Linked DNA regions of Sus scrofa. The protein of the gene in region 1 purifies or fractionates together with the protein of each later gene. This does not show direct contact. Links are inferred from orthologs where the notes say so. Each region holds a gene or a part of one and is shown in the gene's direction. Other genes may lie near its edges.

Evidence for each region.
Region 2: the proteins of TULP3 (region 1) and TTC21B purify together in Homo sapiens (affinity purification with mass spectrometry; 5 studies listed by BioGRID and IntAct, counting the BioPlex papers as one, with this or other methods). This does not show direct contact. The link is inferred for Sus scrofa from reciprocal best matches to the Homo sapiens genes TULP3 and TTC21B.

The regions. Positions count from the first base shown.
Region 1 is NC_010447.5:67,201,105-67,204,498, reverse strand, and holds the end of TULP3 (tubby-related protein 3), read left to right. Parts: coding exon 1-140; intron 141-646; coding exon 647-772; coding exon of another isoform or gene 773-780; exon of another isoform or gene 781-2,489; coding exon 2,490-2,581; 3' UTR 2,582-2,819; downstream 2,820-3,394. UniProt on the Homo sapiens protein: Negative regulator of the Shh signaling transduction pathway: recruited to primary cilia via association with the IFT complex A (IFT-A) and is required for recruitment of G protein-coupled receptor GPR161 to cilia, a promoter of PKA-dependent basal repression machinery in Shh signaling.
Region 2 is NC_010457.5:72,509,672-72,514,202, reverse strand, and holds the start of TTC21B (tetratricopeptide repeat protein 21B), read left to right. Parts: upstream 1-1,699; 5' UTR 1,700-1,834; coding exon 1,835-1,855; intron 1,856-4,531. UniProt on the Homo sapiens protein: Component of the IFT complex A (IFT-A), a complex required for retrograde ciliary transport and entry into cilia of G protein-coupled receptors (GPCRs). Essential for retrograde trafficking of IFT-1, IFT-B and GPCRs.

The DNA.
Region 1 (3,394 bases):
CAAAACCATGGACAACTTGATTGAATTGCACAACAAGTCCCCGGTCTGGAACGATGACACTCAGTCCTACGTCCTGAACTTTCATGGCCGGGTCACTCAGGCTTCTGTGAAGAACTTCCAGATCGTCCATGAGAGTGACCGTAAGCCCGCAGGAAGGGTGGCCTGGGGATTGGAGGAAGTGAGCGTTCCCATCCCTGGTGGGAAGCCTTAGTTGGGAGAGAAGGATCTGAGAAAGCAGATTTCTTTGGAAAGACAGAGTGTTTGCAGTTTTACAGTCAAACTTGTGAACCACTCGAGGAGGGAAGGAGAGTGTGAGAGATCTTGTGGCAAATCAGAGAAGTCCAGGGGGAGGCTGTTCGGGAAGCAGACACAAAGACCCCTCTTCAGTAAAGGCTCCTGGCCGCTCCCAGCAGGCCCCTCTCCTGCTGCCCGGGCCCTGGGCCTGAGTGGAATTGCAGGACAGACTTTGCTCATGGTTGGCAGCCACTCTTGTGAATGCCTTTGTCCATCCTTCTAAAAGTTTCCCATTTTAGACAGACCTGGTGATTAACTGACTATTTGGAGGATCTTTGTCTGCATCCAAGACGGGCCTTTCCCCAGAACAAGCACTTTACCTCCTAACGTCCTAATTTCTTCCTTCTTCTAGCCGACTATATAGTCATGCAGTTTGGACGCGTGGCGGACGACGTGTTCACGCTGGACTACAACTACCCGCTGTGTGCACTTCAGGCCTTTGCCATCGGGCTCTCTAGCTTCGACAGCAAGCTGGCCTGTGAGTGAGAGAAAAGCAGCCCTGGGCTTTCTCTCCCAGAGCTTTCCGGAACAGGCAGCCGCACCCTTGCTTTTGCCCCAGGATGTGAAGAGTGACAGCCTGCCTCTTTGGGCCTGACCCCTGAAAGCACGTAGTGTGCACACGCACATGTGTGTACACGTGTATGTACACCCCTCCTCTGGGGCTCGCAGCCTAACCTGGGTGAGAGCTTGCCCAGCACCTGCCCGGCAGCTTCTGCACCTCCAGAGGCCGAGTCCTGTTCTTGGAAACCTGCAGCCAGAATCAGCTTTTCTAATGATCAGGTTCTCGGGCCTCTCTCTCTTTTTTTTTTTTTTGCTTTTTAGCGCCGCACCCACGGCATATGGAGGTTCCCAGGCTAGGGCTTGAATTGGAGCTGCAGCTGCTGGCCTACCCCACAGCCACAGCAACTTGGGATCTGAGCTGCATCGTGACCTACACCACAGATCACGGCAATGCCGGATCCCTGACCCACTGAGCAAGGCCAGGGATCGAATCCGAGTCCTCATGGATGCTAGTCGGGTTCGTTATCGCAGAGCCACAACGGGAACTCCCATGGGTCTCTTTTCTTGAAGATCTTTTCAGAAAGGGCCAGTTCCCTGAATTACTTTGGTATCCAGGTCAGCGGCCAGACGGTGTCTCCCCCGCTCATCCCTGCGTGGCTGGTCCCTCCTTGGAGGCGGGGCTGTGCTGCGGGAAGCAGGCTGGCCCTGCCCTGCCCAGGAGTCTCCCCAGGTGTGGGCCTGGCCATTTTCCAGGATGGGTCCAAGGTCGTGAAGGCACTGAGTGGGGGTGGCCGCCCCTAGGAAGCCACAGTCCAAAAGGGATATGAGGAGGGCCCTGGCCTCCACTGTCATGTAGCTTGTACCGTGTGTTGGGGACCACGGTTTCCATGGTATCATGTCAGTGATCCTTTGTCGACCACCCAGCATGTGGGGAAGGGCCCGGGGAGCAGTGCTCGGCTCTCTGCTTTGTGGGGGAATGTGGCACCCACCCCTCAGGGCTTGCTGTCTTCCCCATGGGGCTCGGAAGGCACTATGTCAAAGTCTCCCCTGCCCAGGGCCAGCTGGCGGGCTCCAGCCTTAGCCGGAGTGGCTATGGCCAGATTGGTGCTGAGCAATGTGAGAGCTTTACCGTCTTTGTCTTAATTTTGGTGTAGGCCGGGCACAGCAGCTCTGGAGGTGACAGTTTAGTTCAGGCTGGGTGTTTGGCCCCGGCCCTCATCATTTTCAGCCAGGAGTGCCTCCCACTGCTGAGCTCCTGCAGCCGCCTGGGAGGGGAGGGGACAGTGTGTGATGTCAAGAGCTTGGGACCCCTCTCCATGAGAGGTCTCCTCCACCCTGGGGCCTGGCTCATCTGTGCACATCGTGTCACTTTTCCTCTGAGTTTGTAAGAGTTTTAGCCTCTGCCGGCAAATCCCGCGAATCTGTGCCCATTCACAGCCTCTGAGTGGGCCTGAGGCTTGAGGATCCAGAATGCGGGAAGCCCTGCCCTGGTGGCGGTTGGCTCCAGAGCCCCGTGCCCTGAGCTTCGGCCAGCCCCGGGGTGCGGCTCCCTGCTGTGGGCTCCTTTTCTGCCCCCTCCCCGCCACAGCTCCCTGCCAGCAGCAGCTCAGCAGCAGCAGGAAGGAGACCTGGGCTCATCCCCACAGGCAAGCCCAGCCCCGCCAGCTCAGTCTGACGCTGTTGGTCCCCCTCAGGCCTGCTTCGCTCAAGTGCCTCACTGCTGTGCGAGCTCTCCAGCCTCCTACCCCAGCGGCCTGACGTGCCATCTGACGCACCGCCTCGCTGACCGCAGAAGGCTGTCCACTCCTCTCCAGTTGCCAGAATGTGAAGTGTCCGGGGGGAGGCTGGGGAGGGGGGAACTGCCTCCGACCTCTGACCCTGCTTCCTCCGGCCACCCTGGCTCACAGACATGCCCCAGCTTCATGTACTTTCTGCTTGAATGTGCAGGCGATTGATTTTACATGAATCATATTTATACCTTTTGTATGCTATGGAAGTGAAAACATGATTTATATACAAATGTATCTAGGAGTGTTGCCATTCTTTTTTCAAAGCCCCATCCCTTGCAAGGTTCAGACAGTCCTGTTGTGTCACAGTAGCTTCATCATCACCTGCAGCAGTGACCTAGTCAGTTCTTTGAAGCCAGGTGAGCATGAGCGTAAGCCTTCATCCCAGGGCAGAGCAGGAGTCTGTGTCCTGGAGACGCAAGCCATCCTGCACCAGGAGTACCCTGGACGGGTGGGTGGCAGCTGAGCCTGAGCACAGAGGGGCCCAGAGGGTGAGGCCTGTCCCGCCCAGCCCCCTGGGGCGTCTGTGTTGCTACTGTGTCCTTATTCAGAAGCAGAACAGATTAAATACCTGGTGGTGAAATAGACCCTCTTGCTGTCAGTGTTCATACATAAAGCTTTCTTATGCAGACAAGCTGAGCAAAAAGTATGTTCACAAGTCTTTGGAGTTTCTGTTGTGGCTCAGTAGTAACAAACTTGACTGGTATTCATGAAGGCATGGGTTCGATCCCCGGCCTTGCTCAGTGGGTAAAACCCACCCCAAAATCAAGTCTTTACAAGGCCTCCTTGCTTGTGAGTGTCGCAAGGATGAG
Region 2 (4,531 bases), on another chromosome or scaffold:
TCTTTTAATTATGATCCTCAGATATTTTCTTTCAGGTAAACTCTTAATACCAGAAGTATCAGTTTAAGCTTGTATACTCGGACTGTTGCGGAAACCGCAAAAAACTGTGGCAATGGAAGGAGACAAACAGCACTCAGAGATAGGGAAAAGCAAGGTTTATTCAGCACTGGTGCAGGCTCAGAGGAGTCACCTCCAGAGTCTGAGCACCAGGTCTTTGTTCTCAGTAACTTTTACACACTACAAGGTCTTGATTTTCCCATGTAAGCATCCTGGACCTCCCCCCCCACCCATCCCCAAGCAGACAGTGTTCCTTCCTAAGAAACTGAGCAAGCAAGGTTACAGAAGGAGAACTGATAAGCAATGCTGGGGGTACATGATTAGCAGGGCTGCTGGCTTGGACAGAGGGCACACAGTTGTTACATTATTACAAGAAGGGTGGTATAGTGAGGAACATAGCTGGAAAGGCTTGCAGCTGCCTTCTTAGCCAAGGGGGGGGGGTTGTTCTTTAGTTAAAACTCCATTTCAGGACAAGCACCTTGGTTTGTAGTATTCTGTGTTGCATATCAAGTGTAACATTAATCCACAGGCTTTGAAAATGAGACCAGCAGGCATTACCAGTTGCTTATCACCACAAACATTTAGCTTGACTATGAATGATGGAAACAAACAAAAAATCCCAGTCTTCATGAAAAAAATACATTCCTCTTTGAGTAGAATGCTCTTCTAAGGGAAAGCGGTGAGAAATATTGCCGAGCATTAAAGTCTGTGTTAGTAGTCATCCTCTCCTTCAAGGTTGTTATTACCTAAACTGCTGGCGTGAAAAAAGGTTAATGTTTGTTGATGGCTTAACAAACTTCAAGTCTGATTAAGCGACTACGAATAATATCAACCAAAGTAAGATAATTAGAACTAGGATTGGAATTTGGAATCTATGTAAAAGATTCTACAAAGATTAAACTTTAAATCTTATTTTTAAAATGTCTTTAAGCAGAACTAGGAAATCTCTTAGTTCATTATACGTTAATTTAATTCACTAAAATAACTGAAGAAATCTGTAAGCAACTGAAGGTTACCTGATCAATATAAACACAAACTTTTGTAAAGGGATTAATTTCATTCTTAGTTTAAAATTAGCAGTATTTTTAAAAACTGAAAAAATGTGTTTACTTAATTTGTTCCTCCCATTATCCGGGGTGGGGGAAAAAAGGACTAATTTAATGTGCATTTAAACAACAAACATGGGATTGCAGCAATGCCTGCAAAGATTGGCCCAAGAAGCTTCTCTTTCTGTTAAGAACGCGTGATTTTTCTGCGCCACCTTGTGGCCAAATACAATACTACATGTGAAAGGTAAAGGCTTTTCTCTTGAGAGGGTCAGGCTATCAAACAGCCGCATTGCGGGAACCTGTCTTTACACAAACGTGTAGAAAATGGTGCCTTCCTTTGTAGACTGTAATGGGAAACACTTGTACTTTTTCTATTTCCTTCGTTCTTTAATTCCTTACCCTCGGGCCCGCCCACCCGCGGTCCGCCGAAGGTCGTTTCCCTGTTTGACCTCCCCTTCCATCCCCAACATCCGATCCGGCCTCAACCCCTTCCACGTCCTCTGCGCTCCTCCGGGTCCCCGCCCCCGCCGGGACCCCGCAATCCCTGCAGCGAGGGCCCGCCCCCTCGCGCCGGCAGCCATTGGCGGCGCGACCCCGCCCCCCCCGCCCCTCCCTCCGCGTCCGGAGCGGGTTTGGGCCTGGGCGCCGCGGCTCTGAGCTCCGGTCTTCTCTGCTGGGTAGTGCTGGGCGCTCGCCCAGGAGGCCTGCGGCCAGGCCTCGGGGAAGCCATGGACTCGCAGGGGCTGCAGGTGAGCGGGCAGGACCTGACCGTGTGTTGCTGTAGGGGTGGCGAGGGGTTGGGGGGCTTGGGGAGCGCGCGGGCCGACTTGGCCAGGCCGTTGTTACCCTGCGGCGTATGCAGCCCAGGTTGGCGATCAGAGCCCAGGCCCGGGGCGCAGGCCTGTAACCTGGATCACCTGCTTCCGTCCGCCCCGCCCTGTAATCCTTAGGTCGGGATCAGTCTTCCCCGCGCGCTTCTTTCCGAATTGTCGTTACTGTGTTTGTCCCAGCCTCCCACTCTGTTCATTGTGTTTGCTTTTACTTTTGTACCCTGTTGGCTCGGAAGAGTTGGTCAACATTTGACTCAAAATCCCCCTCCCGGGTGCGGATTTTCTAGGACTTAGAGCATAGTAGTGCCACCCCCACCCCCCACCCCTGTGAGAAGGTAAAAGGAGCACGGAAACAGTATATGAAGTCAATTAAAGACAGAGGCTTGAAAATAGGGGAGTCTTTACTTGAGGGAGATGGTCTTCTCTATTTGTTTATCAATGATTCATCCATTCAGCAAATATTTAACGACTTTCCACTTAAGAAATGATGATTCGAAAGCAATTAAGGGCATGAGATTTAAAAATGAAAGTTACGTTTTAAGATGATATTTATTTAGTCACTGTTTCCCTTGTTCAATCCTGATGGAGGGCTCACTGCGTGTCCACTGGAGCTGGAGATCATGATGAACAGAATGGAATAGTCCCTGTCTTCACAGATTTTATAGCCTGATGCTGGAGAAAACCTTAATTGAATTAATTTAACAAATGTTTATTGAATGCCTCCTGTGTGCCTGGCACTATTCTAAGTCCTGAAGGTAATAAACCCTGCCGTAACAAAGCTAAGAAAAACCCTCCCAAATCTTTCTACATTTGAGTAGGAGGAGTCAGTCAGTAAACAGGTAAATAAAATGTGCACCATATTAATTGCTGATAAGCAGATGGAGGACAACTTGGCAGTAATGGAGAGTGCTGGAGTGTCTTTTGCTTTTTTGCCTGAAGTTTTACATCATCTTCCTGTGAAGACATCCCTCAACCCCTTAAGGATTTTCATCCCCTTAAATACATGCTTTGTACTGCCTGCCATACAAATTAAATAAACTTTTTTTTTTTTTTTTTTGCTTTTTAGGGCCACACCCGAGGCACATGGAAGTTCCCAGGCTAGGGGTACAATTGGAGCTGCTGCAGCTGCCGGCCTACACGACAGCCACAGCAACACTAGATCCTTAACAGACTGAGCAAGGCCAGGGATCGAATCTGCATCCTCATGGTTACTAGTCCGGTTTGTTACCATTGAGCCACAGTGGGAACTCCCCCAAATGAACTTTTTTAACAAAGACTTTCATGCTACAAGCTATTATTTAGCTCCTCATCACTTAGACTAGAGAATCAAGTCACTATGAGGTCCTTCTTGACCCTCGCTTTCTCTCCAATCTCATCATCCAATAATCTGTTTTCTACTTAAAACTCTAGGACAGGAAATGGCAAACTTTCTCTATAAGGGGCCGGTTAGTACATATTCAGGCTTTATGGGCCATAGAGTCTCTGTGGCATCGGATCTGCCATCATTGCATGAAAGCAGCCATAGACAATACTAAAGCAATTGAGTGTGGCTTTGTTCCAATAAAACTTAACTTAGACAAGGGAGTTTGAATTTCATGTAACTTCCACATGTTATACTTTTCTTCTTTGGCTTGTTTGGTTTTGTCCTCAACTGCTTGAACATGAACCAACTGTTCTTGACTTGCTGGCCATATCAAAACAGTCTGGCAGGCCAGACATGGCCCACAGACCATAGTGCACCCATCTCTTCTCTAGCGAACAGGATGACTGAGTCCTCTCTACCCCCACCCCAGCCCCTGTCTCATTGCTCATTTCTTACCTCTGTGTTGTTGCAGTTTCTGAATCATGAAAGAGGAATAGGAAGAGTCTGTATGTGTGGGGAGCAGGAGTTTGCAAAGCGAGTCAGTTCTGAAGTCCTCCCCAAGAATCTTTTCCTTAATTTTACTCTTCCACCCTCCCACACCCCAACCTCGTTCCCTTACATTCCAAAGGCAATTAATAAGTTCTTTCCTGGCATTTACTTTGTTAGACTTCAAATGGTCTTTAGATTTCTAGTCTCAGTTGAAAATTTTAAGCTTTTCTGGGACAGCATCCATATCTCACTCCCCTTCATATTCACAGCACCTAGCCCAGTGCCTGGCACTCATAGGCAGGCAGTGAATGTTTGTTGGACCAAATAGCCTAGCCTGATCCAAGGCAGTGGTTAACAGGTGCAGGAGTATGAGGTAGACTAGAGAAACAGAAGGACCTCCTGACTGATTAGACTTAGGGGGACTGACTATGCAAACAGGAAGAGAGGACTCCTGACTGGTGTCTGGCTTGGGTGGCTGGGCAAATGGAAATAAGAGTTGGAGCTGTGATGAGAGGTCTTGAACAGATATATGGTTTTTATGTCCTCAACATATGGGGTTTGGAGAAACATCCCCCCCCCCGGAGTTTTGGAGTATAATGTCTTAATTAATCCTCACAATGACCTATGAATGATCTAACAGCATTTTACAAATGAGCAAACTGAGGTGCTGTAAGATGAACCAGAAACTTGAAACCAGGTCTTTTCACTGTAAAAATCCATGTCTTTTTTGGTAATACCATCCC